Nothobranchius furzeri: one gene and its partners. The protein of the gene in region 2 interacts with the protein of the main gene of each other region in a pairwise test. Links are inferred from orthologs where the notes say so. Each region holds a gene or a part of one and is shown on either strand. Other genes may lie near its edges.

Evidence for each region.
Region 1: the proteins of rpp30 (region 2) and rpp14 interact in binary tests that used the Homo sapiens proteins (3 or more experiments, as listed by UniProt). The link is inferred for Nothobranchius furzeri from reciprocal best matches to the Homo sapiens genes RPP30 and RPP14.
Region 3: the proteins of rpp30 (region 2) and hmg20a interact in binary tests that used the Homo sapiens proteins (3 or more experiments, as listed by UniProt). The two-hybrid records come from large-scale screens. The link is inferred for Nothobranchius furzeri from reciprocal best matches to the Homo sapiens genes RPP30 and HMG20A.

Annotation. Positions count from the first base shown.
Region 1 is NC_091743.1:78,985,027-78,995,659, forward strand, and holds the start of rpp14 (ribonuclease P protein subunit p14), read right to left. Parts: upstream 6,492-10,633; 5' UTR 6,406-6,491; exon of another isoform or gene 6,367-6,405; intron 4,546-6,366; 5' UTR 4,519-4,545; coding exon 4,427-4,518; intron 4,344-4,426; coding exon 4,259-4,343; intron 4,173-4,258; coding exon 4,096-4,172; intron 4,019-4,095; coding exon 3,940-4,018; intron 2,376-3,939; exon of another isoform or gene 2,195-2,375; coding exon of another isoform or gene 1,337-2,194; intron 1,167-1,336; coding exon of another isoform or gene 1,092-1,166; exon of another isoform or gene 877-1,091; intron 1-876. Other genes in the region: E3 SUMO-protein ligase ZBED1, read right to left, coding at 1,092-1,166, 1,337-2,194. UniProt on the Homo sapiens protein: Component of ribonuclease P, a ribonucleoprotein complex that generates mature tRNA molecules by cleaving their 5'-ends.
Region 2 is NC_091756.1:51,150,045-51,160,524, reverse strand, and holds rpp30 (ribonuclease P protein subunit p30), read right to left. Parts: upstream 6,193-10,480; 5' UTR 6,119-6,192; coding exon 6,037-6,118; intron 5,396-6,036; coding exon 5,337-5,395; intron 5,059-5,336; coding exon 4,936-5,058; intron 4,763-4,935; coding exon 4,691-4,762; intron 4,214-4,690; coding exon 4,124-4,213; intron 4,044-4,123; coding exon 3,927-4,043; intron 3,805-3,926; coding exon 3,775-3,804; intron 3,636-3,774; coding exon 3,598-3,635; intron 3,437-3,597; coding exon 3,357-3,436; intron 3,278-3,356; coding exon 3,203-3,277; intron 3,040-3,202; coding exon 2,996-3,039; 3' UTR 2,743-2,995; downstream 1-2,742. Other genes in the region: microfibril-associated glycoprotein 4, read left to right, coding at 60-98, 744-840, 927-1,094, 2,120-2,373; nudt13 (NAD(P)H pyrophosphatase NUDT13, mitochondrial), read left to right, coding at 7,202-7,404, 7,479-7,621, 7,757-7,864, 7,944-8,050, 8,162-8,287, 8,520-8,631, 8,753-8,907, 9,137-9,334. UniProt on the Homo sapiens protein: Component of ribonuclease P, a ribonucleoprotein complex that generates mature tRNA molecules by cleaving their 5'-ends. Also a component of the MRP ribonuclease complex, which cleaves pre-rRNA sequences.
Region 3 is NC_091754.1:44,442,650-44,453,192, reverse strand, and holds hmg20a (high mobility group protein 20A), read right to left. Parts: upstream 9,358-10,543; 5' UTR 9,237-9,357; intron 9,158-9,236; 5' UTR 9,044-9,157; intron 5,684-9,043; 5' UTR 5,665-5,683; coding exon 5,599-5,664; coding exon of another isoform or gene 5,592-5,598; intron 5,506-5,591; coding exon 5,296-5,505; intron 4,892-5,295; coding exon 4,759-4,891; intron 4,665-4,758; coding exon 4,627-4,664; intron 4,288-4,626; coding exon 4,212-4,287; intron 4,131-4,211; coding exon 3,915-4,130; intron 3,195-3,914; coding exon 3,062-3,194; coding exon of another isoform or gene 3,058-3,061; intron 2,972-3,057; coding exon 2,968-2,971; 3' UTR 2,684-2,967; downstream 1-2,683. UniProt on the Homo sapiens protein: Plays a role in neuronal differentiation as chromatin-associated protein. Acts as inhibitor of HMG20B. Overcomes the repressive effects of the neuronal silencer REST and induces the activation of neuronal-specific genes.

The DNA of each region.
Region 1 (10,633 bases), on a different chromosome or scaffold from region 2:
TTCTGAAAATGGTTTAGTTCATTAAGCAGGCTGAGTTAATCCACCCTAAAGGCTGATTTATACTTCTCCATCTGCGTGGGTACGGAGACACGCAACGCCATTCTGCATTGGCGCAAGGACTTTCCAACAGGCTCACAAAGGCTGATAGACATGCCCAACTATTTAACTATCCATCAAAAGTTACTGAGACAGCAAGATTGTGATTGGTCAAGTCGTCGCTCCCTATAAATTCGTCAACAGCACCGCCATTGTCCTGTCAAAAAGATACTTAGCGACAGACATGGAACAGATTCCTTGCAGAAAAAGTCTGAAAATATTAACATTTATTTACTTGTGACTGAAGGAGCACAAAGATACCTAGCAGGTAGGGCTGCAGCTATGGAATATTTTAGTAATCGAGTATTCTATCAATATCCGGATCGATTAATCGAATAATCGAATAAAACATACTTTTGCTAAATTAAGGTTCAATTATAAATATACAATATAAAAAAGACAGACTTAATAATGAGAACAACAAATTTAAACCTTATGTATAAATGACATTTTATTAATGTGTTTGTATAATGGAAAATAGTAATTGTTTCTTTAGAAAAATCAGAGAACTAAAATTACTTCCACCTTAACATTTGAGATGAAAACACAAATATAAATAATATTACTTTAAACTTAACATTCCCTGAGACAGTTACATAAAAAAATAAAAATATTATTTGAATAACAAAAAAGCAGTTATCACTCTTAGTATCAAAAAGAATGTGCAATAAATTGTGCCGTTAACACTGCCCTTCAATTGTGCAACTTTATATTCAGAACTAACATAAGACAGTAACTTGGCCCACAAGTCCTACTACTGTAAACAAGGATTTTAAACTGTCCTCAAGAGACTGCCTGGGGAGTGGAAGTACAATCTATCCAAGGAGCCTGTGGTTGCAGTGAAGGAAGGTGAGCCTATCTACATGCTCAGGGCTGAGGCTTGCCCTCTTCTTTGACACAATATTACCTGCTGCTGAAAACAACCACTCGGATGGGGTGGATGTAGCTGGAATACAGAGCAGGGAGTTTGCCAGCTTCGCCAATGTTGGAAAGCGTTATTCATTCGCTTTCCACCAGATCAGAGGACCATCCTTCTTTGGAAGGGACTGTTCTCCGAAATATGCCAAGACCTGTGACAGTTGGGGGAAAAAGCACAAACAAACAAAATCTAAAAATGTCTTTGGCTTATTCAACATTATAAAATATTCATTTTCTGTTCTAGTAGAACATTTGAACTGCCTTATAGGAAATTGTTACCAAAATAAAAGGGGCAAAAAAACAAAGCATTATTTATGTTTACCTCATTCTGTATAGCTTCATTTGACAGCTGTTCTTCATCTTGCTCTTCATCACTGCTGGTGGAGTCCGAGTCAAGGAAGGATGTGGTCATCTTGTCTTTATGCGCTGTAGATGGAGCACCCTCTGCTGTGCTGGATGCTTCATTTCCACATCCAGTAGGCCCCAGTTGCTGCTTGACAGCAAGTGCCATGGTTTGCAATGCGTTTTTGACTCCAAATGCTTGGTCAGCAGGCAAGAATTTGAGTTTTCGAAACCTGGGATCCAGAGAAGCAGCAAGCAGTGTGATGTTTGGAGACTCTGGTTTGAACTCACCCAAGTCTTTCCATCTTGTTGTGACCTGTTCTTTTGCATGAGTCTGGAATGACACCACAGGTGGTGACTCGAGATTCTGACTCTGGAGTGACTTCTTAATTTTGTCAACAACATGTGGAAGTGCAGAAAGCGTAACATATTGCTCTCCACTCATAAAAACTGTGGCAGAGTGGAAGGGCTCAAGGACCTGGTTGAGCTCCTCAATCAGGCTCCACTGGTCAGATTTGAGATCCAGGTAATGTTTCCCTCTTTGGGTCACTTCTGGGTCAGACAATGTAGCAGTCACTGGCCATCTTTGTTCTTGCAGCCTTGACAACATGGCATAGGTGCTGTTCCAGTGTGTGCAGACATCCTGCAACAGCATGTTTTCTTTGGTCCCCATGTGCCTCTGCTTGACCTTTAACTTTGTGCTTGCCAATTCACTTTTCTTAAAATGTTCGACAAGAGTTCTTGCTGCACCCACACACCTGGAGATAGCCTGTTGGCTTTTTAAAGTGTTTTGCACAACCAAGTTGAGGGTGTGTCCTGCACATTTCAGTGCTCCCATCCATGCTTTGCATGCAAAATCTTTGTTGCAGCTACAACATTAGCACCATTGTCATGTACAACAGCCTTGATTTTCTCTGGTGGAATGCTGAATTTGGCAATTACCTCCTCAATCCAATCTGCAATGTTTGCAGCTGTGTGCCTCTCCTCCAAGGGCATAGTGGTAAGACAATGAGACATAATTTTCCAGTTTTCTAGGTAGTGGCACGTTACCCCCATGTAGGCCTCTGTTGCCACACTTGTCCAGATATCAGTAGTAAGTGCTATGGTGTCAGTCTCTTGCAGGGCTTTCTTCATCTTGTTTTTGATGTCTTCATATTTTTCTTTCAACCGCTTTGTGAAAAAGGTCCGAGATGGAAGAGCATAATTTGGCTGGAAAGCAGCAATCATCGCTTTGAAGCCAGCATCCTCCACCATGCTCAGTGGGCGCATGTCTGTAACCAGCATATTTAGAATGCGGTCTGTCAGTACAGCTGCTTGTGCTGGGGTGCAGGCAGGTGCTTTCAGCAGAAATCTATCCAGGACAGGTTGTGATGTTTTACTGAAAAAAAGGCAAAAAATAAATAAAGTGAAGTAAAACATTCCTAAATTGCAATTAGGATTTGGTACATTTCCATGCAAGGCTATGCTGGGGAATTTTGGAAATATTTAAAATTAGAAACTGTGCACAAGAAATAGGGGAATTCATGAAAATTAACTGGAATTTGGGGATAATTTTAACAAACTATCATTCAAACAAAGTTTTTTTTAAATTGTAAACCAATTTTTAAAATATACATTTTAACAGATGTATTTTAAAGCAGCACTTTAAAACTAACTCATAACAAATAAATGTATTTTATTGACACTACATTTGAGTCAACATGTACGTCCTGAAATAAAAGCTTATTTACCTGGTCTCGGCACGTCCACTCATGCCCTCAGTCGGATGCTTTCTTAAGAGGTGCTGCAGCATGGAAGAAGTGCTGTTGTGGTATGCTAGCTCCACCTTGCAATGCTTGCATACGACGACGTTTTCCTTGCTTTTTAACGTAAAGTGCTCCCACACTTTGGATAACTTCGGTCGCTTCCTATATCCCTCGTTTTGGTCTTGCTTGTTTTCATTTATTTCCGTGGCGTCTGCCATAGTCGGCTGTCCAGCTGAAAAGACTAAAAGACTGCTGCGCCTGCGCGCTGTGCAGTAGAGTGCATGGCACGTATAATCTGTGACGTAACCAGGTGTTGCAACACAAAGAATCCGTGCAAAACGCAGTTTTTTTCAGCTATGGTCTATTTAACGAGTCCTCGAGGCAGCGGAAAATCCTCGAATATTTTTTGTCCTCGAATCATTCGAGTTACTCGAGGATGCGTTGCAGCCCTACTAGCAAGCATTTTATTGATGGACAGAAATGACGGGTAATTTGGAAGTCAAGTGTGAAGAGGTGGAGCAGAATATGGGTCAAATTTGTCAATGTTAAATAGTCTCTGACATAAATCAAAGCATGTAAACACACCATCTAGGACCAGATACATGACTGTAATGGTGAAAGGTGCTATGCTCTCTGTTGTACAGGTAGAGGAATTGCTTTGCAACGCTCCCCAGGTGATGGAGAAGTCTGAAGGGGAAACACCTCTGTCAATGCTTGAGTGCGACTCCACACTCGAGCTGACGGAAGTATAAACCAGGCTTTACCCTCGGTCACATCACACAGGTGAATTCAAATTAAAATCTAAGAAATAACTGAGCTAAAGGTTAAATCTGCTGACCTGCAGGACTCTGAAGGCACAGGCCTGGCTCTGGTAATAACCCTGCAGAGTTAGGGAGCTCCACAACTTCACCAGACCTCTGAAAGAAATATCAAAACAATCAGACCCCATCAAGTGTATTTAGTCAGACGTTTGAAGCAGCAGCATTGGGCTCACCCACTACAAACACGCAGCACAGCAGTGAGAGACCCTTCATCAAACTTCAACACATCAAAGGGCAGCGCTGCTCCCACCTGAAGCACATTGGTGTAGAAGCATTTCAGTAACTGAATGCAGCCTTTAGTCACAGCTCTGATAACAATAGATGTGTTTAGCTCACCTCTCCATGTAGATCCTTCAGACCAGTGATGATTAAACTCTTCAGTTCAACTGCATTCAGTCTGGTTTCCTGATCCTGTAAAACCCTTAAGTAGTAATGCACCAAGTCACCAACAAGATCAAAGATATGCACCAAAGACAGGAAAACTACTAAAAACCAGAGACTAACAGGCAGACTTTCATATAGCAGTAAGGCGAGCCGTTCTTCAGCACCGTTCGGTGGAACCCAGAAGATCCAATCTTCTCTCTGACTGATGTCATTCTAACAGAACCTCAGAGATCAGCTGACTGTGGACCAAAACACACAAATCTGTAATTACCTGTTATGATCAGAACAACAACAAAGTTAATGACAAATGTCCAAAGTATGAGGATTGCTGTAAAGACTCTCTGTGTTTCTCAATGTCAAGGCACCTGGCCTTGCGAGGCGATGTCTTACGAGGCCTTGCAAGCATCAGCATCAGCAATCTAGAAGCTAATGATGGATATATTAAGCAGGGGTGTCAAACATGCGGCCCGCGGGCCGGATCAGGCCCGCACACAGTTTAAATCCGGCCCGCGAGATGATTGCGTAAACCTTATTTTCAGACTTAACAATGTAAAGTCTGAAAATAAGCTTTCATTTTTCAATTAAACTACTGGTGAAAGTTAAAAGATGTCAGGTATCAGGAGTCAAAGACATGTATGACACTGATATAGCCATGTGATCTGTGAATCAGTTATTTGAATCACTGAGCTTGCCCTCTTTGGGTTTTTTGTTTTGCATTTCACATTTTCAAATACACTTCAGGTGTTTTATTATTAATGGTGATGTTGTGCTTTAACTATTTTGGATACACTGTCCTCAGGCTCCAGCTTTGTTTTATGTTGATCGTATTAAAACAAAAAAAAAAAAAAAAAAAAAACACTGGTCTGGCCCACTTGGGACTAGATTTTCCTCAATGTGGCCCCTGAGCAAAACTGAGTTTGACACCCCAGCATTAGAGCATCCTGGTGCAATAAGCTAAACTTTTATGAATGACACGATTAGTCGACTAATCGTCACTGGCAACTAGCTGACTACTAAAGTAATCGTTTGTGGCAGCCCTAATTTAGTGACGCAGAAACCCAGCAATTACTTTATATCTGTTGGCTCTAAAGCTTCTTCTTAAAGCAGAGTAAATAGGATAAACATGTGTGCCTTAACCTGGCAATTAAATATAATAAAACCTCCCTGTTTTTCACAGCTTTGTGTTGACTATTTCTATTCTAGAATAATGAATACGTATGAAAAATAGGTCTAAACCTTAATCAGCTTTGAATTTAATTTCTATTAAATAATGCACATTTAAACAGATGATATGTGTGTTCTAGTTCTAACTTGCAAACACTAACCTATGAAAGTGAAGACATAAGATAGCCTTAAGGAGGGAGATCCCGGGCCTGCTGGGCTAGTATCCAGCACGTTTTTAGATTCAACACACTTGATTCAGTGGCTGATTCACTTGCGCAGCAGCTCATCAGGCCCTGCAGAAGCCTGATAATTACCTGCTGATTGAAGTTAAAACTGAAACGTGCAGGATACCAGCCCTCCAGGCCCGACAATGAATATCCCTGGCCTATATATAGTAATATATATAACCCCAGTGTTTAAGAGCCAACAGATAAAGTCATCTAACAGTGTGTTAAATGCAACAAAATTTACACATTTGATGTTTTTCAGGTTCTTTTATAAAAGAAACAAACAGGTTTGTTGCAAAACAGGACATGATGGTTAATATAGCACGAAGTTAACAATTTCTTCACTAAACTCCTCAAAATCTGGCTGGAGAGATTGAACACCCTGCAACGAGAGAACACGGTTTATTGTTACATGAAATAGCCAATCGTATGAGAGAGAGCTCTTCCTGCCAATCAGAGGCGAGAATGACGGGACCTTCCTAGAACATCCTACTATTCCAAAGGAGTAATGCCGGACCTTTACACGCTAACGGAAGCTAATTATGTTTCATGCTGTTTAAGCTAACCCGTTTTAATCAGAAAGGACAAATCGCCTCGCTGGAAGAACTTACAGCAAATTAAAGTCAACGTTTGTTCGGAAAAAAACAGAACTAAAGCAAGTAGAATTACCTGTTAGGCCAAACACCAACAAAAACGAATTGAACTCACCCAGGATGTGAAGAGAGGGTTCATGTAAAGCGCATGCGCAGCACAACTTTTTTTTTTAAAGGTTTACAACGTGAAGTACATTATCGCCCTCTACCGATCTGGAGTGTGAACTGGCATTCCTCAAGCATAAACCAAGCTTAAAGCTTCCCTGTTTACGTCTGCGTCAATAGAACAGAACGAATGCTGTTCTTGATATCATTTCAAACATAACTTAATAAAAAACAATACTGATGTACTCAAATGAGTAAACTCACATTAGCACATCCAATCTACAAAACAATAATTAAAAAATTAAATATTAAAGAAGATAAAACAGTATAAATTAGGTATTTGTACATGATATCTAAAAAATATTTAAATCCATTTCAGTTCTTGGGCTATACAGCGATGCAGTGGTTAGCACTGTTGCCTTGCAGCAAGAAGGTCCCAGGTTCGAATTGTGCATGGAGTTTTCATGTACTCACTGTGCATTTATGGGTTCCCCGCAGGTGATCTGGCTTCCTCCCACAGTCCAAAAAGATGACTATCAGCAGAGGCGATTCTCGCATCAGAGGTTTAGGGGTGCTGAGCACCCAGAGATGTGCCCGGTCAGGCAAGATAAATTTCAACATTTTCTACATTTTAAATAAATAATTCTCACATTAAAGAAAGAAAACAAAAAGACTGTTTTCACTAATCAAATTACAGTTTGAAACATCACAATATATATGTTTAACAGATTCTGCTCACACTGTAGCAGAATTTGGTCCAGGTTTAGTGGTTCCCAGTCTTCTGTCCTTGAGCATCCCTTGGTTGTGTGTTAACCTTACAATCTCAGTACAAACATGTTGTAGAAGAAGAAGAATAGCTGATCTTTTGTACAGTGCCTTTCAAGATAAAAATCACGAGGCACTTGTATGTGCTGAATTCCCACAAATTTGGTGGGGACCCCATTGGTGGATCACGAACCACAGCTTGGGAACCACTGGTCCAGGTGTTGTAGTTTGAAAATGTGAGCAGATTAAAGATGCTCAATCAGTGGAAAAATTGGATGGAACTGCCCTTTAATAATTGGAAACCTGAAATCAAAGCCAATTTGTAGCAATGTCTGAATTTCCACAAAAGAATGAAACTAAAAGTACCAGTAAATAACTTTTAGGTCAATTTATTTTTTTTTCACATAACTTTCCACTAATATCAACATCCCATTGAAAAATAAATCCAAACTTTTTTGATAATTATTCTGTTTCTTCTTAATTAAAAAAATTAAACAAAAACAAAATGGTGGTTTTTGCAAAAATGACAACCAATCTCATACAGTAGATATTTAGGGGAGAGAAAACAAAAATCACTGACTTTGATCTCTGACAAAAGTTAGATTTAAACTTAATGTTGTGACTTATTTCTCAGATGTCTCAGAATAATTGATCAAAGCTTTAATTCAATAATTTCAACTGTTCAAAAGGGTTTGGCTATGAAAAACCACAAGCACCTTGTCTGTGTTAGAATCTTATTATTGGGCTTCTTTAGCACCAGCCTGTTAGCCTGGCAAGCCAGACTCTCTCTGTTTAATTCTGCACAGAGACTGAGTCTGCTAACTCTCGGCAAAGAGCACCATGAGAGGCGGGACTGGCCAGCTCAAAAATAACCAATCAGAAAAAAGTTGGAAATGACAGCTATATCGCGCGACGCTGTAGTTTTTCACCTGTAGTAAGATGGCGTCTGGCGTATATGTAAATCGTAGTTGTCGTCTTTGTAGTAAAAATCTAAGAATCCACGAAGTTATAAACAATTCTGTTTTAATATTTGACCGAAAACTACAAGACAGGACAGTTTCCGACAGATGTGCGTGTTAGGGATTAAATTTAAACCAAGAATGAAAAAAATCAGAGCGTATTTGTAGAACATGTGCAAACATGGTAGCACGTCTCGAAAGAGATTTGCCTTTATTGAAAAAGTGGCAGGAAAACGAAAAAAAAAAAAAACATCACATCAGAGGATCAAACTTCACCAAGAACAGAGAAAAGAGACCGTAAAACACCATTGAAAACTAAATTTGATAATGTGAAGCAGTGTCTCCCTGATGTACAGCATTGGAGACAATTTTAGCTCTGGAACTGCTAACTGCTGTTGTACTTCAAATCAAGCAGTTGGTGGAGTTTTTGCTAAACCGTTTTTAAGATTACCTAAACTAATGATAGTTTAAATGTACCAATTTGTAATTATTTATCTTAAATAAGCCATTTCCTCCATTACATGTTATCAGAAATGATTTTTTACAGTAGTTGCGTAATATGGAAATGAAACATCAGATCCTAGCCACTAGACGATCAGGGAGAGCATCTTCTGCTTTATCCACCTAGTTAATGCTTGTGTCACATGTGTATATAGTAATTCATTCCATGAAGTTGCATTGTCCAACTGACGTCCTGATTTTGGATTTCTGCTGCCATAAAAATTTGCCTAGAATCCCATCGGTGTGTAAATGTCCTTCCGGAACTTATACAATTAGGTTCAAATGTCTTTACTAATCCATTTTTAAGATCACCTAGCCTAATGATAGTGTAAATGTACCTATTTTTAATTATTTATCTTAAAGCAGCCATTTCCTCAATTAAGTCATCAACAATGATTTTTGACAATAGATACAGAGTACAGAAATGAGACTCTTCCCTGACCAGGAATCGAATGCGGGCCACGACGGTGAGGGCGTCGAAACCTAGCCACTAGACCATCAGGGAGACACTATTCCTCTTTATCCACCAAGTGAATGCTTGCACAGTTGTATAGAATCAGTCATTCCATGAACTTGCATTGTCCAACTGACGTCCTGATTTTGGATTTCTTTTGCCACAAAAATGTGCGTAGAGTCCCATCGGTGTGTAAAATGACCTTCCGGAACGTCTACAATTAGGCTCAATTGTCTTAAATTCAGCAAGCAGTCAAGCACGCCTAAGAGCAAATATTTATTGCAACACATAGACTTTAAGAACCAAATTCTGGAAAAAATTTTTTGTGTTGTGAACAAAAGCTATAGTGAACTAAAGCTATACTATGGCCTCAGACTGTCAACAGTCATGGAATTTGACGGAATGTACAGCGTTGGAGACTATTTTAGCACTGGAACTGCTATAGGTTTTTGGGTGGACATCTCTGCCATGTTGAAAATCAAAAGGTCTTTCTTTGATTACATTTTGTTGCCTTCCTGTGGATTAAGTTTCATCTTACTGTAGATCAAATTGAACACAGACAACGGTTTCTGATCTGACTCTTTGTCAGCAGTCACTGATGGTGCAAGTCAAATTAGTTTAGTGCACAATAAAAATGTAAAACTTCAAACCCCAAGCAAGACCGGTCATTTCATCTTTCCGATCATAACGATTTTACATTGAATTACGTGGCATTGGTGGTATAGTGGTGAGCATAGCTGCCTTCCAAGCAGTTGACCCAGGTTCGATTACCGGCCAATGCAAAGATTCATCTGTCGTACTTCAAATTAAGCAGACTGCAGAGTATTTCCTAATCCATTCTAAACATCACCAAACATACTGATTGTGTAAATATACCTGTTTTTAATTATTTATCTTAAAGCAGCCATTTCCTCAATTATGTCATTAACAATGATATTTGACATTAGATAATGAGTATAGAAATGAAACTCTTCCCTGACCGGGAATCGAACCCGGGCCACGACGGTGAAAGCGTCGGATCCTAGCCACTAGACCATCTGGGAGACACTCTTCCTCTTTATCCATCAAGTGAACACTTGCACAGTTGTATAGAATCAGTCATTCCATGAACTTGCATTGTCCAACTTACGTCCTGATTTTGGATTTCTTTTGCCACAAAAATGTGCGTAGAGTCCCATCGTGTGTAAAATGACCTTCCGGAACGTCTACAATTAGGCTCAATTGTCTTAAATTCAGCAAGCAGTCAAGCACGCCTAAGAGCAAATATTTATTGCAACACATAGACTTTAAGAACCAAATTCTGGAAAAAAATTTTTGTGTTGTGAACAAAAGCTATAGTGAACTAAAGCTATACTATGGCCTCAAACTGTCAACAGTCATGGAATTTGACGGAATGTACAGCGTTGGAGACTATTTTAGCACTGGAACTGCTATAGGTTTTTGGGTGGACATCTCTGTCATGTTGAAAATCAAAAGGTCTTTCTTTGATTACATTTTGTTGCCTTCCTGTGGATTAAGTTTCATCTTAATGTAGATCAAATTGAACACAGACAACGGTT
Region 2 (10,480 bases):
TTTAATGTGTCAAAAGGTTTGCACCATTTATGCATAACCTGTTGTTTCGGCGTCTGCAGGTGTTTTGTGACATGGACTCACATGGGGGACGATGGACGGTGAGTCTGAACTTGTGTTATTCCACAGATCTTCCAGCTTCCATAGACATATCGAGGTCCTACAGCCAGTCAGCTCATGTAAAATGTTATTGTTTCAATTAGATTAGCTGATGAGTTTTAATGGATGTGAATAGCCGAGCTTTAACTCTAGACTGTGCTAAACTCAATAAGTTAAATGATGGCAACGGGGCTTTTTGGTTCCTTGAACAAGTTTTGCTTCTCATCTTAGGAGCTGTGTGGATTCGTGCCTTTAAACCGTGGCAAACTGTTTATTCTACAACTGTTATAAAAGTTATTTACACATTATGTGTTTTGGTCAGTGGTTTTCTGCTGCTGTGGGCCCATCTGGAGCCAGGAGCTGCTTCAGAAATGATACTCTAGGCCTTGGTTGGAAACGGTGATGTTTTGAGCCTTTGTTGCTTTTTTATCGCTCCTTCTCATCAGACCTCTGACATTAACAAGACATTTTCATCCACACTCTTTGTGTATGATCTCTTTTCTGGACCATTCTGCGTTGGCCCTAGAGATGGCTGTGAGTGAAAATACCCTGTAGGTTAGCAGTTACTAGAATATTGGACCATTTCTGACCAGCGCCCTGCTGAAGGTCTCTACCAACACGTCTCAGTTCAGATCCTCTTATCTCAGGTGTTCCAGAGGAGAATGGATGGTTCTGTCAACTTCCACAGGAACTGGGAGCGTTACAAGGTTGGCTTTGGGAATGCTGCCGGAGAGTATTGGCTTGGTGAGATCTGAACATCTAAACAACAATCATGATGTTATATCAAACTGATGTGGGTTCAAAGTTCTGGTTATTTTTGCTTGTTTCAGGCCTGGAGAGTCTGTTTCACCTCACCCAGCTGAAAAAGAACGAGCTGCTGGTCGACATGGAGGACTTTGAAGGGAGGAAGGTGTATGCTCGTTACTCCTCCTTCTCCATCACCCCTGAATCAGACGGGTATGGAGTGAATGTGTCTGGATTTGTTGACGGAGGAGCAGGTGGGTCTCAAATTAGGAGAAATGCTATGTTCATGAAATGTGACTGTGAACATCAGCGGGTGAAAACATGTTTGTGCACAATTATTAGGCATCTATCAGTGTGCAAATTTATCAGGCAGCTATATCACCCCTTTAGTCTCATCTGTAAACAGACAACACACATTTTCTAAATAAACATTTATGACGTAATGAAATCAGTGACCAACACAGCCACGCTTCTTTTCAGTAGCAGCAGTGAGACTCCCTGTTAGTCTCTGGAGCTGACCTTCTCTCTGTACAACAGCAACACACCGTTCAGAGAGGTGAACAGTTTCCCTCTCTGGTGCGTTGTCTGTTTAAGGGCCCACAACTTCTCAGTAAGGGTTAGGTCAGGCGAAGAAGGGGACCATGTCGTTATTCAGTCATCTCCTAAAGCATGAGTAACAGAAAAACAATGTAGTGAAAGAAGCTGGCACTGTCTTTAGGGGACCGGGTCTCAGGAGCCTCCACAGGCTGGCCAGGAGGTGGAGCATCTTGGTGGCCCTTAACCCCTCATCATGATGCAGATATGGACCCTCTCCGTCCATCTGGTCCATCACATCTCACACAAAACCTTTGAAAAAGCTGTCTTCAGATACTCCTTGGTCATGTCTAGATGTTTCACTTTGTCTTGTTCAGTGGTGATTGGGCTTTAAGGAAATATATCTTTGTTGTAACGGTTGCATGGGTTAGGGTTAGCGCTTGGAAGCTAGTTTTAGTAGCGACAGGTAGTGGATACAAGGTAGTGAATGAAGGTACAACAGTACAACAAACTTTGCAAAGTGCAACTTGCCATTGAGACAATCAGATGATTGCATCACTATGTACAGGTTAGCAATGTGAGAGGTGTGCATACACAATGAGCTATATTAATGTAACATGTCATTTAAGAAGCTGTGTGGAGTCCCGTGTGTCAGAGACCAGGTACTGGGTGTCCATGATTCTCTGCAACCAAAACATTCTGCTAATTTAATCTTTTTTTTGCTGTATGATTTATTTCTTGGCAGGAGACACACTGAGTCGTCACGATGGACAAAAGTTTGCCACTTTTGATAAATACCAACATGCCGGACCAGACAACTGTGCCAGACAATTTTTGGGTGCGTTCTGGTACTGGAGATGCTACTATCCAAACCCTAATGGAGTTTATTTGTGGGGGGCTGATGGATCCAAATATGAGGTCGGTGTGGTCTGGTACAGCTGGAAGGGCACTACCTACTCTCTGAAGAGTATCAGCATGAAGATCCGACCCATCAGGTGAAGCTGCAGAACAAACATCCAACATTTGTAACAGTTGAAATTGTCTTTGCTGCATTCTGACAATAAACTACTGATGCGATCTGATGTCTGTGTTAGTCAGATGACAGGTGTATGTTTGAGTCTCATTGTGTTGGACTGAAGGAAGTTTTTGGAGTTCTGATGTGGATGCTACTGCAGAAGATGCCTGGCAAATTACAGATTAAGACTGAGATTACAAATCAGGCTGCAGGAACAGAAAATATACTGTGGAGAAAAAAAAAGCAAAAATGTTTCAGCAAAGTAAATTTCAGCATCATGTGATTTAGTCCAAAACAACTTACAGATGAGAATGTAAAAAAGCAGTTACCGTTGAAGCAAATAATAAATCATACACATTTTCACAAATTTTTATTAAAACGGGAATACGACCTGCCTCTAGGCGAAAAAGTAATGTCCCCCTAATTCCAATATTGGGTTGTAACACCCTTTACTCAACAAAGGTTGGAAATAAAAATTTTACATGAAAACAGAGGATCTATTTTTCTCAGAAACATTCACATTCTTCCATTTATGAAGAGTCAAAACGGGACATTTTAATTTAAACTGTTAATTGATTCAGCTGCTTTTAGGAAGGCCCCGCCTCCTCAGCTGTCAGAGGGTTTCATCCTTTTGGCAGCAGGAGCTTCACCTGTACACATGAACACAGAGAGGGACCTGGGTGAAACAAGCATTACTTTGTTTGAGTCTGATGAGAAACCAGATGATGAAAAAACATCAGTTGGAGTTCTGAAGGACAGATCACCATCGCCTCCAGCCTGATTCAGCTTCAGATAAATGCAGTGGAAACTTACTGTCGGCAGAGTCCTGCAGCGCCTCCTGCTGGGTTTTCCAGGTGTGCACAATGCCGCTGGCTGTCGACCTGGTTTCTGACAAATGAACAAACAGTGTGGTAAACAGTCTGAACCAACAGGAAGCCCGAGTCTGCAGAACTTCAACAGGATTTACCCGCACGCAGTAAAACAGATCTGCAGGTGGACGAGATAGATTCTTTAGCATCTCGGTTGGACAAACCAAACAGCAGACCTCTGAGAACCAGATCAGGAACGCAAGACATGAAATGTGTTGTACAACACTACACACCAGACACAGTTCTGTGAAAACACACACGATGGTCTGTTCTGATATCTCACAGACTGCGGCAACACTGAGCCCTATGTCAGATTAATGAACAATGGTTAAAGGATACAGGTTGGCGATGTCATATGGTCCTCTGAGCTCCCAAGACTGAAAACACAAATATCAGGTCAGAGAAGTACGGTGGACAAAAAGGGCTAAAACTCAGTTATTAGAAATGTTCTGATTTGGTGAAACAGAACCTTTAGTTAAATTCATGTTTGATCCACAGACGTAGCTGATCACTGACCTTGTCAGCTGCACTCGACAGGATCACGTTCTGAAAAACAGAAACAGAGCTCAAGATCTCACCTGCAACGTGATGTCACAGAGCTTATGTCAAATAACAGCATAGTGTAAATTACTCTGCAGCTAGCCAATCAGATGCAAGGACATGCATACCTTCCCTTTACAGCTCTCCATCAGGCACACGGCGTTGGCGATGGTGTAGCGCCTCATGGTAGAGTCTCTGATGGCTGCAGCATAGGATACCTCAAATGCAACGCCTCTCTCGATGGCCTGAACTTACACAGGTTCACACATTCATTAAAACACACACACACACAAATAAACAAACAAACAAAAGCCTTGGTTGTCACCGCATTGATCGGCGCTCTCTTGAAGAAAAAGGGTAGCTTCTCTGTCACTGGGATGCAGATGATGTCGATATCGTACAACGTGCAAGCTGCCTGAATAACACACACACACACACACACACACACACACACACACACACACACACACACATAATACACATACTTCAGTAAAAATAGAGTGCTTTCCACTCAGTCTGTTTCATACAGGTGTAATTATTGTACAGCTGTGTTTTCCAGGACAAATTACAGCTACTGCTATTACAACCACAGTTAGTTTCTATTTTTTATAATGTTGTGTTTCTTGAAAACTTTTCCATTCAGTGAAATTGCAGTTTAGGTCCTGTTGTGTTTTCTAATTAAATGTTGTCAATTTATTATTTTTTTGTCTTTTTTAAACTTTTCTTTTGTTAAATATCCAGTTGTGTTTCAGATGGTCTTTTGTTTAGTTTTGTTGTGCGTTTTTCCAGTAAGTTGATTTTTTAAAGTCACATATTTCATCCATCAACATTCCTGTAGTCAGTGAAAGCATCATCCTGTTGGAGAGATGAACAGAGTGTCAGTGAAGCTCACATGGAAGACTTTCTCAGAGCTTGAATGGAGGGCGATGAGGTCGAAAAATCGAAAAGCTGGAGAGTTGGTCGGCTGTGAGCACGCACGCACGCACACACACGCACGCACACGCACGCACGCACACACACACACACACACACACACACACACACACACACACACACACACACAAAACAGGCTGTGGCATCACATCATACAATCCATTTCAAGATTATTGATCCCTTAGCTCTAATTAGACAACTCACATAGTGACTGGCGTCAGACATCACCAGCGTCAGTCTGTTCAGCACTCTGATTGGACGAGAACGGCCCTGCACCATGGGCAGCTTATCAAAGATCTCATTGATCGGCTTTGGTGAGGGAATTTCCTGCAAAGACAAAATAAACATACTCCCAATAATAAAAGTTTGAAACAAAATGTAAATTCATTGACAATCAACTGATTGATTCAGCATCTGCTTAACCATAGAGATCAAGTGAATGCTCGGAGATCAGTTTTATAAAACCCGTTTTGATGTTTTACCATTTGGATGTTTCTGTTCATAAGAATGAATGAGAATGTAATAAAGTATCAAAACGCAGCCACATCAAAGGCTTCTATCTGACTCCATGCTGTTCCTCAATGCAGCGCAGTAGGTAGTCTGACCTGTTTCTTCTTGGCTACGAGCTCAAACACATAGTTGATGGCGACCGTGGAATATCCAACTGTAGGAGGGGAAAACAAAATCCCAGTTAATCCCTTCAGTGAGGTTTGCATCATCCAGGTTCTGATTCTGGATCTGTGGTTGTGTAGGGTTTAGGAAATTGAGTGCTTTAAGAGCTCTGTTTGTGTGAATCAGGTGGATATCACGATCCTGTCACAGTCACTGATGTAAATACTCCAAACTACTGAAGATCAAGTAAACATCTGATATCTTTCTGTTTCCTGTCAGACGTAATGATTATGTCTCAGGCTTTATCCTCAACAGTTATTGTTCAGTTACGCACGTGCAAAGGGTCAAATGGACAACAAAGAATGCTTTGTTATGAAATATTGTTCCTAATCAAAAGTACATAATCCAAGGCGATGTTACGGGTTTGTGGGTTTTAGATGCAAACAAGCTGTGATCGATTATTTCTCTAATAAACGGATTCAACTTTTCCCACAAAATCTAGTGATAAGGGTTGTTCTTAGTGATGTTATAAACAAGCATTATCGATTAATATCTTAACAAATCAAGTCATTTACTGACAGTGTTTAACTGATACCAGAGCCTCATCAGCCGAACCAAAACCAGCTGAGTTACGAGGCGGACCAACTAAACACAACACTAGAAAAGGTCTGGTTTAAGGTCGAGAATACTCACGATGAGCAGCTGTTTCCACCAAACTCTGCAATTGCTTTATATTAGACGAATACATCACGTTTAGGTCCATAAACACAGACATGGTACCACGAACCTATACAGCTCCACATATAGAAAACCGCAAGGCTTGCTGGGAGCTGGAGTCTTGTTCTCGATGAGTGAGTGACACGGGCTGAGGCTGACACAGAATATTTTGTATTACCGCCACCTGCTGGTGGCGGAAGCCCCAAGCCCAAGAACGACAAAAGAAGAAAACCAGTGGATTCTGTGATAAAGCTAATCTTTTTTCTCAATTTGACATGAACCTGTTTGGATATTTCCTCCTGGGAAGACGTATCTTGTTTTAAAGTGACTTAAACACACGCGCGCGCGCGCGTGCGTGCACGCACACACAATATGACTAATTTAAGCATACATTAGTAACAGAGGTGCATTTTTGTTTTATTATAGAAAGTATTTTAGTATCACTTTAATACCAGGACAGACAAATTACAAAGAAATCAAATACTTTCATTTTTCATTTTCTAAATTTTGACTAAAGTTCAAATCAATCATATTTACTGCTTTACACTAGCCTGGCAAGCCAGACTAAATAAATCTGTTATTTAAACTTTGCAACGCAAGAGGTCTAGTAGTTCACTAGGTTATTTTTATTTACTTTGTTGCTTCCAAAGAACTGCAGCTGCAGTAACAACAGTCTGGCAGCAGGGGGCAGCCGTGCCAAACCGCTGCTCAGGGAACAAACAGCAGCAGCAGAAGAAGAAAAGGTCAGAGGTCAGTGAAAAGTCGAAAATTTACTGCAGACGTCTGAGATTCTCGCGCTTAAACCGAACCAAAGTGGATGTTACACTGCTATAACAAAGCGGGTCAGCCTGAACTCTGAGCGGGTTTTTGTGTTCAGAACCACTAGCCTGACACGAATCTATAGTTTCAGTGTAACCTAACAGAAACGAGCAGATTTACAGAATCCCTGATTATTAAACAGGGCATCCTACCGATCTAACACTTCTGCCTGTGAAATAAATCTGATGCAGTGTGAGAATAATTGTTGGAGGTCACAAGAATAATTATTCAGAAAAGTGTATTTAAATCAGACCTGATCAGACTAGTTTGAGTGGAAAACTGCTGCTTATGACTGGTAAACAGGTTAGTATCAGCTTCATTAATGAACATCTTGCAGAAACATAAAAACAGACTCTGTGTGCAGGCTGAGGCAGCAGAACCACACCAATCCAGTTCAGATCAGTCTGGCCTAATCCAGCAGGTCCGGTCCAGAATGGCTTCCCTGTTAAGACCTCTGAGGATTTTCTTTCCCGCCAGATGCTGTGTTCCGACCCGTTTCTACTCAGGCTTCGTGTCCAGGATGAGGTTCTGAGGCTTAGACATCTTATTTATTAATTGTTTGGTTGATCTGCTGATCATGGATGGATGTTTCTGTTCAGATTCCTGAACAGTCTGAAGGAGTGTGATGAGGCGTGTGTTGCAGCGCTGCAGAACGCTCACATTTTCCTGTTTCATCGGTTGGTTCCACTGCTGCAGCAGACTGGCCGAGGAAACTTATCTCCAGTCTTTCTCACCTACTCAGGTACACAGCCCAAGAACCAGAACCCACAGACTAGCGAATCCAGAAAGTCAGGGACAGATCAAGATCTAAGACTTCAGTCAGAAGAGGAAGTAGTAGAACCTTCACTTTCAAACATCTCTTGTGATTATCTTCCAGATGTTCAGTCTGTCTTGCAGAAACTTGGTTCTGACGAATCCCTACTAAAAGAGTCCATTCTGGTTGGCTGTTCAGATCAGAACCAGGCTCAGTTCTGTCTGGATGTTGGTAAGAACCTGGTAATAGGTGAGCATCAATTTGAAATGGCTCTGAGTTCTGGTTCTGGTGCATGCGTGATACGTTTTAGGAGAACTGGATCAGGCAGCAGTAGCAGAAGAATTTAAAGGTTGCTTCATGGACCTGAGGAAAGCTTTCTTCCTTCTGAATGGATCAGGGGCGCCTCTAGTGGCCAAGGTGCGGCTCTACAATGGGACTCTGGTGTTGTGTTCTTTATGACTGTTCAAAACCACAGCATCTCATGTCCACTGATCTGTGTTCATGTTCTGACATCTGCTTGTCCCACAGGCTCAGGCTCTGCTGCGCTGGCATCAGATTAACAGGTTCTGTGGTGCTACGGGTCAGCCGACCCAACGGAACCAAGCTGGTAGTCAGAGAGTTTGCAGCAGCAGCTCCATCATCTACTACCCAAAGGTCCAAAACTTCTCGGGTTTCTGACTAAAGGCTGAAAAGTTTTAAACTTGTTTCTGAGTGCTTTCAAGTTGGTTACTGACTGGTCCTCATCTAATTTCTGATCCTTGTTTAGTTTAGGACAGGCTTTAATCTGCATTCTTGTTAGTTATTTCACCGTTTTATCTCTAGATTCTAACCATGTTTTTCTGACTGGTCTGTGCTTCTGATAGGTCATGTGACTGTTTTCCTGCAGATGTCTCCAGTGGTGATCGTCCTGGTGTCTGATGGGAAACGGTGTTTGTTGGGCCGTCAGTCATCCTTCCCTCGGGGGATGTACAGTGCTTTGGCCGGTTTCTGTGACATGGGTCAGTCTCACCTGTGTCACCTGTTTACCTGGAGTACAGATCCACTCTACGGTGAACCCATAATGTGTGTGTGTGTGCGCGCGTGCGTGTGTGTGTGTGTGCGTGTGGCTGATCTCTGCAGGGGAGACCCTGGAGGAGGCTCTATGTAGGGAGGTGGCAGAGGAAGTGGGTGTAGAGCTCCAGAGCATCTCCTACAGCTCCTCACAGCACTGGCCTTTCCCACACAGCTCTTTCATGCTGGGCTGCCATGCTACTGTTAGCCCCGCCCACACTCAGGTAGCACCCACTTATACAAGTTCCAGTTCAAGGTTTACATGAGTACATCTGAGACAGGGGAGTCAGGATGTGCATGTGTAGATTTTATTCAGTAGAAACGTCAAATAGGACAAACTCTTCAGGGTCTAGAAAGGTAGAAAACCCAGGACTGAGTGCTGAGGGACACCTGGACTGCAGGTACCTGCTATATGTAACAAATACTTATGACCTGTTGTGGTGTCTTGTCCAGCTGAATGTTGACCTCTCTGAGCTGGAGGACGCCCGCTGGTTCACTGTGGAGGAAATCTCCAGCGGCCTGCAGGTGAAGACCACACCAAGGAGAGGTGACCCTCCCAGCTTCTGGCTGCCTCCCAAACACACTCTAGCCAATCGCCTCATCACAGAGTGGAGAGACCGCCAGCGAAACAGCAAGGACTCAATGGGATGAACATGGCAAGATGCCGACAACTTGTGCCTGACAGAGATTCATGAAAAACAGTCACAGGAACACATTCCTTGTGTGTTCCTCATGTTCCTGAATCATAATCCCAACCTGTGTGCCTGAGACTAACTGAGACACTAGCTGTTCTACTGGTAATTCATAATCTCAAAACCTTTCACACATTTTGAAACAGAAGTTTCAACGTTTTTCTCGCAAATCTGACATTGTTTGATATTTCTGAGTCTCCTGAGCAGAACCAGAACATCTGCTGTTTCTGTAAAGAAGATTTAAATCCTTTTTCATGTGGAGAGAATTAAATGGCTTGAATAGGAGGGTGTCAGTGATCCAATTTTTACTCTTATTTTTGGAATGTATAGATAGACCTCATTTACATACAGTGCTGCTTCAACAGTAAAAATAAATAGGAATCATGATTGGATCCAAACTGTTTCATGAAAAAGTGAGGGGGGCATGTTCACCCTGTCCACCCCATAAATAATGTCCTTGCTTACATTTTATTTTCAACACACAAAAATGTTCATTAGAGAAACCTGAGTTTTTCATGCAGGCTGAACATGATAGTACTCTCCTACACCTATCTGCTGCATTAGCTTCTAACAAGAAAGGCTGTTCTTGGCTTAGCATCCAGGAAACAGCAGAGAACGTCTCGGCTAGTAGAAGCTAACTGTTAGGACTACTCCACCACACAGCAGAACTCCTCCAGGCTTGTTATTTTTGGAGATAAAACATCAACATTGCAAGTCAGTGGTAGAGTTGCTTTGCGTCTGCGGAGAGATGTCCAAATATTAGGAATTAAGACTCCAACATCTGCCGTCTGCAGCTCAGCTGTGATGTAGCTCACTGCTAGTTCCTGAAGCTGGTGCACCGTTATCCCCCCCCCCCCCCTCCAGGAATATTAAAAAAATATATATATTTTTAATTTTATTCTTGACTTAAGTTTTAGTTAATGTATTTTATGTTTAAATAATTTATGTTTAAACATCAGTAAAGTTGGAAAATGTCAAAGAACTGGAATAAAGGTGAGAACAGGAATGAGGGATCCAGATTTTATTAGAATGTTTTATGTCATGGTTTATATCTGCGTTTCAGATTAAGCTGGTTGGGGTGAGGTTCAGACTGGTGGCATTATGA
Region 3 (10,543 bases), on a different chromosome or scaffold from region 2:
GATAACGTGATTTCTTTCTTTTTGGTTGTTCGGTTGAACAAACCATGACCCGAAGTCTCGAGGGGCCTTGTGATCTCGTGAGTCCAGCGAAGAGCACAGCGAGGAAGCCATGCCGCAGCCAAGACTCTGCCAGTTTGAAAAGGATCGCTTTGAAGTTTGCGAGTAAACTGTTCGGCGCTACACAATTCTAGGCAGAATATTTAAATTTTAACTAAGATGCACTAAAGAGCCAAATTATTGACTACACGTGTCTAGACACTCCTTTATATAATTTATCAGATAAAATAAGTTGATTTGGGGGTGACTTGCTCTTTAAAGTCTGTTGTATCTCTACTAAAGACGGAGGACTCCCATAGCAGAACAAAAACCCAACTGGGTCAAACTCAGCAGTGATCAGGAACCGTCCAGACCCCCCACCCCCATCCCTTCTCTGGGTCTAGGAACTGCTGGAACCAGCTCATAGCACCCCCACTTCGAGGCTGCAGAGCATCAGACATGGAGGTGTTTGCAGGAATAAAACTCCCGGTTCTGTTAAAAGATGGATATGAAACAGAGAATGAAAGGATTGAGAAAAGTGCAGAGATGTTGAACCTGTTCCTCCTCATCACTTTCAGTTTTGAGTCCACATCAAAGAGATCAGGCTCCAGTTAAGCTCATTATACAAATTAGCTCAGAGACCAGGAGAGTGCATGTGAAGGATGAGACCCCAGTTTAAAAGTAAACAACATTAATAAGATGGGAGTCTTCAGCACATGAAAAAGTTTTACTGCCACTACTCCAGGGATGAACATATGAGCTCCTGGTCCTGTGCAAGCTGCAGCTCTAATCAGGAGAAGATGATACCTTTCAGGTTTCCTGCTCATCAGACCTGGTTTCTCCACATCTGGTTTCAGAAGGTCCAGTTCTGAAGTAGGAAACAACATATTCTGGGTTCTACTGGATTTCAGACTCAACACAGTCACTGATTTGACATCAGGTGAGGTTTAAAGTTTGTTCAGAGCTTTGAGGCGTTGCCATCTTAGTTGTTCTGCTCCGTCTACTCCATTGCATCATCCCGCCCACCAAACCGATAGAGCACTGTGCTTGGCATAACACAATAATGATTGGGCAAATGGTGACCCTGTGTGGCAAGACCGACAAGCAGAGCAAAACTTTTTATTGTAATCTCTATTTTTATACACTACGGTTTTATTTTATTATGTAAAGGCCTTTGGTCACCTTTTATGGTGTCGAAAAACGCTATAAAAACGTGATTGATTGATTAATAAGACCAGTTATAACCATTTGGAACCTGTTATGACCAGCTAGTACCAGTTATAATCAGCTAGAACTATTTGGAACAAGTTATAATCAACTACGAAGTTATAAACAGCTAGGACCAGTTATAACCAGTTAGTACCAGTTATAACCAGCTAGGAACAGTTACAACCAGCTAGGATCAGTTGGAACCAACTAGGACCAATTGGAACCAGTTATAACCAGCTAAGACTAGCTGGAACAAGTTAGAACCAGCTAGGACCAGTGGAACCAGCTAGGACTAGTTGGAACAAGTTATAACCAGCTAGTACCAGTTATAACCAGCTAGGACTAATTGGAACTAGTTAGAACCAGCTAGGACCAGTTGGAATCAACTAGGACCACTTGGAACCAGCTAGAAACAGTTACAACCAGCTAGGACCAGTTAAAACCATTTGGAACCTGTTAGAACCAGCTACTACTAGTTATGACCAGCTAGGAACAATGATAACCAACTAGGACCAGTTATAACCATTTGGAACCTATTAGAACCAGAAAGTAACAGTTATAACCAGCTAGGGCCAGCTGGAAAAAGCTAGGACCTCTTATAACCAACTGGAACAGTTATAACCAGCTAGGACAACTTACAACCAGCTAGGACCAATTATAACCAGCTAGGAATAGTTATAACCAGCTGGGAACAGTTATAACCATTTGGAACCTGTTAGAACTAGCTAGTACCAGCTATAACCAGCGAGTTACAACCAGCTAGGACCAATTATAACCAGCTAGGAATAGTCATAATCAGCTAGGACCGGTTATAACAGCTAGGAACAGGTGTAGGAGTCATATGTGTTGGTTTCATTTTCTTTCTGCATACCTGAGAGGAGGCTTGGCCTCATTTGATTGGTAAATTGATTGTGGAAGGACCAGCCTACTGAAGCCAATGCAGATTAGACTCGAGGTGGCTGTGACGGGACAAGCAGTTTTTTACTGTGTGGCGAGGACTGTGGCTGTGTGTAATGGACTCTGCGGACTGTCGTTGGGGCAAGTAACGTATTCATTGAAAACCACTTTAACTGCAGTGAATGGATCCTGGACTTTCTGGAAGAAGACAAATTAATAAACATCATCAGAAATAAACACAAGCTGCAATTCTTTTAAATGCACGTAAAGACTACCAACCGCCTCAGTAACCAGTGCCAGTGTATAGGGCATTGGTATTACAATGGTTATAATCAGTTAGGACCAGTTATAACCATTTAGAACCAGCTGGAATCAGCTAGGAACAGTTATAACCAGCTAGGAACAGTTATAACCAGCAAAGAACAGTTAGAGCTAGTACCAGTTATAACCAGCTAGGACTAGTTGGAATCAACTAGGACCACTTGGAACCAGCTAGGACTAGATTCAGTAACATTGGAAGGAAGTACGGGGACTAATGAGGTGTTTTGAACTCAATGAAAAGACATTTATTAAAAATACAAACATGTTTCAAACTAAAAAACAAACAATGGCACAAGTTGTTTATGAGAAACAGAACACTCCTTGTTGTGTTGGACCCAAACAGGAATTAACGAGTAGAACGCATCTTCACATGTCTACAGGCATGTCACCCAGGCGTAAACAGGTTTCATAACATAACGGTAAGTGAGACGCGTCGTCACAATGAGCTCATGGTGTTCAGCTGAGAGGCATGATGGGAGGAGTCGTCGTCAGACCTTCATTTGATTATCTGGTCCAACAACAAGAAGACACAAAGACATCAGAACTGGTTTAAACTGGGTTAGCAGTAAGCAGATGTGAGGCTCTACGGAGCGCCTACCTGTCCAGGCGGTTGACCACGTCTCTCACGGTGCTGATGAGATGCTCGTGCTCCTGCGGGCTGCTGACAACAACGCTGTGGAGCTTTTTCATGTAAGAATCAATGGTGTCAAGTGTGGGCGTCTCTCCGCTGCCTACAAACACCAGAAATAGTCAGTTCCCAAACTCCAAGTCAAGAGGTCACTGTGGGCCAGGATGTTCAGAGTTCCCCTCTAACTGTCACACAGCCGTACTGGAGTGATCTAACGAGTGTGATGCATTAACCCCGTTACAGTGACTTTCCACTGGATGCATAGGCGGTGCATAATGACATGTTCTGCCCTCTAGCTCCCTTTCTATGGGAAGCGTTTCAGATGGAAACAGCAGCCAAAAAATTCCACCCAGCTGGTCCTGTAAGGTCAGGAAATCATAGAAGAATTGCAGGACCACATGTGATTATAGCAGTTCACACGATAACAAGCAAAAAGAAAGACGGATGCATGTATGTACAAAGCTCTATGGTTTATTTTCTCTTCCGTTTACTCGGCTACGGAGGTTTCACAGGAAACTAAATACCTTTTTACTAGTTAAACAACTGGAAATCTGAACATGACTTATTTTGAAAGTGTCAGGATGTTTTACATAGCTTTTCACTTTCTGTCTGGCCAGATGTGAACTGTTGAGCTTGACGCTGTCTGGGAGCGTAGCGTGTAAAAAACTAGACGCCACACCCCTACGCTTCTGGGACGCTTCGTGGCCAGTGGAAGCAAACCCATCCACTACGCACCATGTTACGCAGCGCTTACGCGTCCGGTGGAAATGCTCGGTTAGCGGTCGTGAAGCAGAAGGGTAGCGCTGGCTGTGGCCATTCTCACCTGGCAGAGGCACAGAGGAGAAGCTGGAAGTGAGCGCTTGGCGCAGCGTCTCCAGGTGCTGATGGAGGAGCCCGTTGCGTTCCCTCTCCTGCATCACGTCCCCCTCCAGCCGCTCCACCGCCCCGCGCATGCTCTCCACGTGCTTCTGCAGCGCTGCGTTACGCTCCTCATACTCCATGTTGGTCTTACGCAGCTGACGCATCTCAGCTTCTCGAGCTGAGCAGGAAAACACACAAACAGGTTTGGGGACATCAGCCAGTAAACAGCGGTGGAGAACCAGAGGCTGAGATGTTTCACCTTTGCTGTGGTTGAGAAACTCCTCTGTGAAGATCGGGATGTCAAACACGGTCCGGTCTTTTCCCTCGGCATTGCTCTGTCATTAACCAGCAGACAAAAACAGGTCTGCTGAGTGAAAATGGTTGCTGCAGCCGGACTGAGACACTCGTTTATGTAAGTAGTAACTGAGTACATTTTATTTATATAGCCCGTATGTAAACAAAATAAAACAAAGTCATAAAAACATAACAATAAAAAACAGAAACTGATTAACTGATTTGCCCCTTCTGAGGGCCCATCAGACCTGTTCTCCAGTGTAAATGATTACACCACACACTCCACCAGTGACTCCAAAACAAACGTGCTCTTGTCTAGATTATGTGGATTAGATTTATTTGGTCCTCAGTGGAACCGGGTGTTGTGAGACCGTACTGACCTCATGAAGAGCCTCACTGGAAGCTTGGTGTCCAGAATCTGGAGAGGAAGGAGAAAACAGCTAATGATGTGTGTGTCTGAAGTGAGTTTTTACCTCCATCACACGCCACCAGAACACTTGGCCTGTTCTCACCCCCCCGGTGCCTCTTGCCCTTCTGCTTCTCCTGGACCTTCCTGGTGAAATGTTTGTAGGCCTCCGTCTTCTGGTACTTCTCCAGCTCTCGCATGTAGCGCTCCTTGTCTCGCTCTGCTTCGTCCAAGTATCGCTGCAGCAGAGGGTGGAGGAAGCTCAGCTGCAGTCGTCAGGGAGAGCTCTAAGAGCTCTAATGATCTGAAGACCCACCAGAGCCCAGCTCCATCAGACTAGAACAAGGTCAACCAGAGTCAGAAGCTCCAGCCTGAATCAGACACGAGGACCTCACCCTCAGCTGCTGTGTGTGTGTGTGTGTGTGTGTGTGTGTGTGAAGCTGTGGCCCACTTACAAGGGGTGCTTACTAGTGAATCCAGATGTTTTAACAGAAGGGACTTCAGAGTGACTGTGGCGCTAACCTAACCTAACCCTCCTCAGCTGTTTCACCTACCGGCGTGAAACCCGAAGAGCTCTGGAGGCCCGTGGAAGGTTTAAGGTTCACAGACTGGAGCTGGCTGTGTAATCCTGTCTGAGTCTGACCTGCTTCTCCTCTGGGGGCAGCTTGCTCCACTCGTTTCCCAGCATCCTCGTAATCTCGGGAAAGGGCACGTCTGGACGCTCCGCCCTCAGCTGCTCTCGTCTGTCATTCATAAAGCGGACGTAGCCCGTCAGCGGAGCTTTGGGTGCGTTGCTGTCCTTCATGGGCTTCTTCCTCTTCCTCCCTTTGGTCCAGCTGCCACGCCGAGGTTTCTGCAGAGAAACAACAGGAGGTGTGACTGGAAGGTCCTCGGTGCAGCTGACGAAGCTTTGTTGGAGTTTGAACTGGAAATGTCGACCTCTGACCTCCTCTCCATTCCTCTGGCTGCCGTTGTCAGCAGTGGCTGCGGGAGAGCCCGTCTGCTCCTCCATCACTTCTGGAAATGGAGATCTGACAGGACAGAGAGTAAGCGAGGGTTTGTATCCAACCCCAGCAGACCAGTGGTACTGGTAATCTGATTACTGACAGACTGGTGGGACACTAGCGCTGATACAAAAACAAAACAAGCTCCTCTCTCATGTGTCCCAAAGCCCTAAAATAAATGATGGAATGAAACGGACTCCAGCAGCTCAGAGAACACGTCTCACATATGAAATCATTCTGTTTGATTTCTTTGTAACAATAACAACAACAATTGTGTTGACCAAAACATTTCTGAAGATGAGTCGACCAAAACCGACGAAGCCTAAATGCTTTTCTGTCATCAAGGCTGAGACTAAAACTAAGATGGCCACCATTAACAGCACTGAGCCCACTGGGTATGCAGACGACCATCTGTGAACACAGATGGGCCACGACACCCTGACCCTGTCAGCTAACAACAGGAAACTGAGGCGACAGCAGGCTCACCACAACTGGACACAGAAGATTGGAAAAACGTCGCTGAGCTGATGAGCCTCGATATCTGCCCCAAGCTACAGAGAAACTAGCAAAGCTGATCAACATCAGAGCTGTTAACTCCATGAGTGTAAAAGAGGAGCCCAAGTCTCCGCCCTCTCCGGTCGGCTCACGGGTCTCCGGAAGAACAACAACAACAAAAAAAAAAAAGAACGCAAGTCAACGGAGCTAAAATGGTTATTTTCTAACCTGCTTTGCCGTACGCCCTGGATCACACACATGCTGTACTGCAGTCTAAATGAAAACTAATGATGGCGGTTTCGACCACGCCAGTCACGTACTTTGAGATTGATTAGCTTGTAAAAGTTCGTAACTAGCATGACTACATCGGCACGTCGCATATGTGACGCTACCGGCTGCTACGTACCACATGACCAGACTTATGGCGGTTCTTTCCTCCTGAGGAAAAGATTCGAAGTTTTCTGAACTTACAGCCATTCTCCCCATTTTCCCCGTGTCTGGTTCAATGACGTCACTGTGGTGAAGCGCATTTGTAGTCCTGGACTTATTTTCACACAAAAGCTAAAATAACGTTCCCCCCGTTTGAGAATAAGCACGTTCTTGGTATCAAGATGTGTCTTCATCATAAATCATATGTGAAATCCATGGAACAGAACAAGAGGCATTTTTGCATTTGTTTTGTTCCTCTGGGGACCCGTGGTCTGGTAGGGCGTGGCTAAGGCTCCCTGTTGTTTGTGTAAAAGTTCTTCAGTACAAGGTTTAATGACAACTATCCAAAGAGGCAGAATTTGCATTCTGAACCATTTAAACATGGTCCAAAGGGAGACCTGCATCAAACAGCCACACCTGCCATGGAAAGTCAAACCAGTAACAGGGTAAATAACAGCACAGACGCTACATCTCATGTCATTACCAAGTTTTTGCTCTTTGTAAACGTGTGACCTGCAGGTTTATAACACTTTATACACCCAGCCATCCCATCATGCAACACGCTACAGCACCCGACGCGTCGTCTGACAAAGACTGGTAATTACATTAACTGATGCTGTAAATAAATAGGTCTTAAACAGATAGAAATAAGTTGCTGATGCTGATAGATAATAATGCATCTCTCCGAGGGACTCGTAGCTGCTGTACTTAGTTGTTTTTATTGATCTTTATTTATATAAATACACTGTCCAACTCTTGCGGTCAGTATTTGTCAGATATTTTTACCAGGTTGGGTCTGTATTAGTACGCTTCCATGAGTTAAACCCCAGCCTAAACCCTGTGGGTCATAAACTATGAGCAAGTGTACTGGCTCTTTTATGCTCGGAGGTCTTTTTGAGGATCTTGTTTTTTTCTTATTTATTTTTTCCTCTGGTTGGGCCCTGTGCTGTTTTATGAAAGAACAAATAAATTGATATTGATTTAAAAATCGTATCAATCGAGATCTAAATTTCAGTCAAAACAATGGTGATCATCATTTTTGCCATAATGGAGCAGCCCTTTGTGACACCTGAAGGACCTGACACCAGAAATAGGATTTGCTCCTCATCCAAACTGCTCCCAACAGAAATGTCACTGAGTCGTTTACTTTTGTTATCAGCAGGAATGATGTCACGGTTCTCCTCTCAACTAGAAACTATGTGGATGTAAAGACAAACAACTGAGAGAGCTAACCAGCTACCAGCACTGAACTCTCCTTTAGCTCAGCCGCTACACGCAGGACCACCTCAGGTAAAACCGTGTTCTAGCCTTTGACCTCTTCTGTTAAACTCACACACTGCCTACTGAGAATTCAGCTCTTTCACCAATACCATCAGTGGTGCTTGACATGCACCCCTGAAGGTTTCCAGACGTCCCCTAAAACTATGCAGCAGCGCCTCCTGATGGAGCTGAGCTCACAACGATGTCGAATCTGGACTAAAAAAGCTCCAGTTCCCATTTAGACACAGTGAAGAGTCAAATACTCCAAATGCACACTTCTAGTTGAGCTGGCCACAAGAACACATCTTCCAGCCCTGAGATCTGAGGAAACCCGATAAAGTTGTTTTATTTAACCAGGAAAGACTCTTGTGAGTACAAGTGTCGTTTACGAGGATGCACTGCAATTTAAGATGCAAATGTGTGCTAATGTGGTTCTGCATACAACACGGGGTGTTTGTAGGCAATAATACTTTGTGTAGATAACCATAATGATATAAGAGCATCTGCGGCATCAGTGAAAAACCAGAAAACTTTCCTCACAATTTAACTCTGAAAAACCCAGGTAACATTTTAAAATCACATTTTCCTCAAAAAGTTGAATAAAAATAACACAATCATTTAAAAAATAGATCCGATGTACACACTTTAAACAAAATCCTATCATTTTAACGTTGTTAAAAAGCACAGTACAGACAAAACGAACTATTATGGGAAAAATGAGATATTTAAACATTTTTTGTTTATTGTTTCGCCTGTAACAAATTTATTAAATTAAGGCTTGCATTAATGTTAGTGACCGATGTGATCGGAATCACACTTAGGTATGTAAAGTGGGCAGTAATGCTACTAAACACTGTTGTCATTTAAACACAAATAGAAACAAATACAAGGACTGCTAACAGTTAGCGTCATGTAGCACTTAACGCTACGGCTAACTAACGCAACAAATTGTCAAAATGGGCTATTTCCTTGTTTGTTTCACTTTAATCAAATATCAAACACATTAAATTATATTCAACTGAAGCTATAATCTCGTAAAGTAAACGTAAAACCGTTAAGCTAGTAGTGCTCCTAGCCAGACCAGCTAGCATTAGCGTTAGCTCCACCAGGTCTAGTCTTGAAGGTGCAGACATAAAGGTGCAGCTTTAATACAGAAAGAAACACTCACTTATGTATTTTAACGCATTAAATGCAGATACTGACCTTGTTTATCGCGACCCGTGGCTGTTCCTGCTCATTTATTTCCCAATCAAAACAATACAACAACAACGCGATAGAGCTCTAACAGATAGCGAAGCTGTTGGGTCGTGGTTCCGCCTGAGTAAGCAAATAAAGGGTCACATCACGCAGTTAAACACAAACAAATAAATAATTAGGATGTGCAAGAAAATCACACCTTATGGAATTAAAGAACGAGAGCCACAAAATATGTTGATAGGGATTCGTCGCTGAAAAGCTGGTCTATACTTTCTAGCTCTGTGCTCTCTCGCTCTTTGTGTATTTTTACTCAGAAGACTAACCAGGCTCTGCTGCCCTCTAGCGGTGGCGCTGCTCCATTACAGTGATGGAATCATTCAGCCCCCCGAGAATGGCGAACTTCATTAATTAAACTAAGGAAGCAAGCAGCAGCTAATGGCTTGTGAATGTAATTAAACAGATGAGATGGAGAATAGTTTATTTTGTTATGGATTTTATGCAAAAAGCAGGAAAAATACAAACTCAACTCTGCCCAGTTTTGTGTGGGTTTCAATAATCCATCCAAACTGAGAATGTTTCCCACACTGGAAGCCAAAGAAAGAGTAATACATTAATTCGAGTTTAACAGCTGAGATAACTCCAGCAGCATTCTAATTGAAATTTTGATTAGAGCCTTATTCCAATTACCCAGAGTTATTCCACACAGGTTGGACACATCCATCCACTCACTGGGTAATACAATCACAAAGAAAACAGAAGTGTATTGACATCTTAAATGTAACCAGGTTGCTTTCAGACATGAGCGATCTAACTCTATAAATAATAAATGAAGTTGAGCTATTGTTGGAATTGAAGCTCGGGTGGTGATCGACTCATTTCTGAACGACTGTGTTAGAAAACAAACTAAGAATTCTCACAAGAGCCTCATAAATAGGGTGAAACTGAAAGGATTCTGGTGTAAACATAAAAAAGCTGGTCCTGATAGGAAATGAAAGATGCTGGAGGCTGATTTCGTTCACCCACAGGAAAACAAATGCAGGAGCAGGTACACAAATGAGTCTGATTACTTGTGGTTGAAAGAAAAGAGCATCTGCCAGCCATGAGATCGTCTCCACAAGCACACGGTTTACATCCTGTCAGTGCAGAAAGCGTCATGAATCAGTGAAAAGCCTCTCTGCTGTGTAGAATCATGTTTGTCGCTAACTGGCTGATTGTGAACACAATAGTGATTCAGGCCAACTGTTTTGCTCCCAGCAGAAACATGGTTGGCATTGTTTAGAGTATGTTTTAAGATTAAAGCATCAGTGCATTGTGCCTCCGCAGACAGTTTGTTGAGCCAGGTTCAATCGGCTGTCAGCCTCCTCAGATCCCAGCATGCCTGTAGGGCCCATCATCACAGCTGTCCCACTGACCTTGCATCCACCCGCTGCGCCGTGCTTCATCATCTCCTCCATGCTTCAGAAGCTTCCTGTCTGTCTGCAGGCTGGCTGGCCCGGAGACCGACGA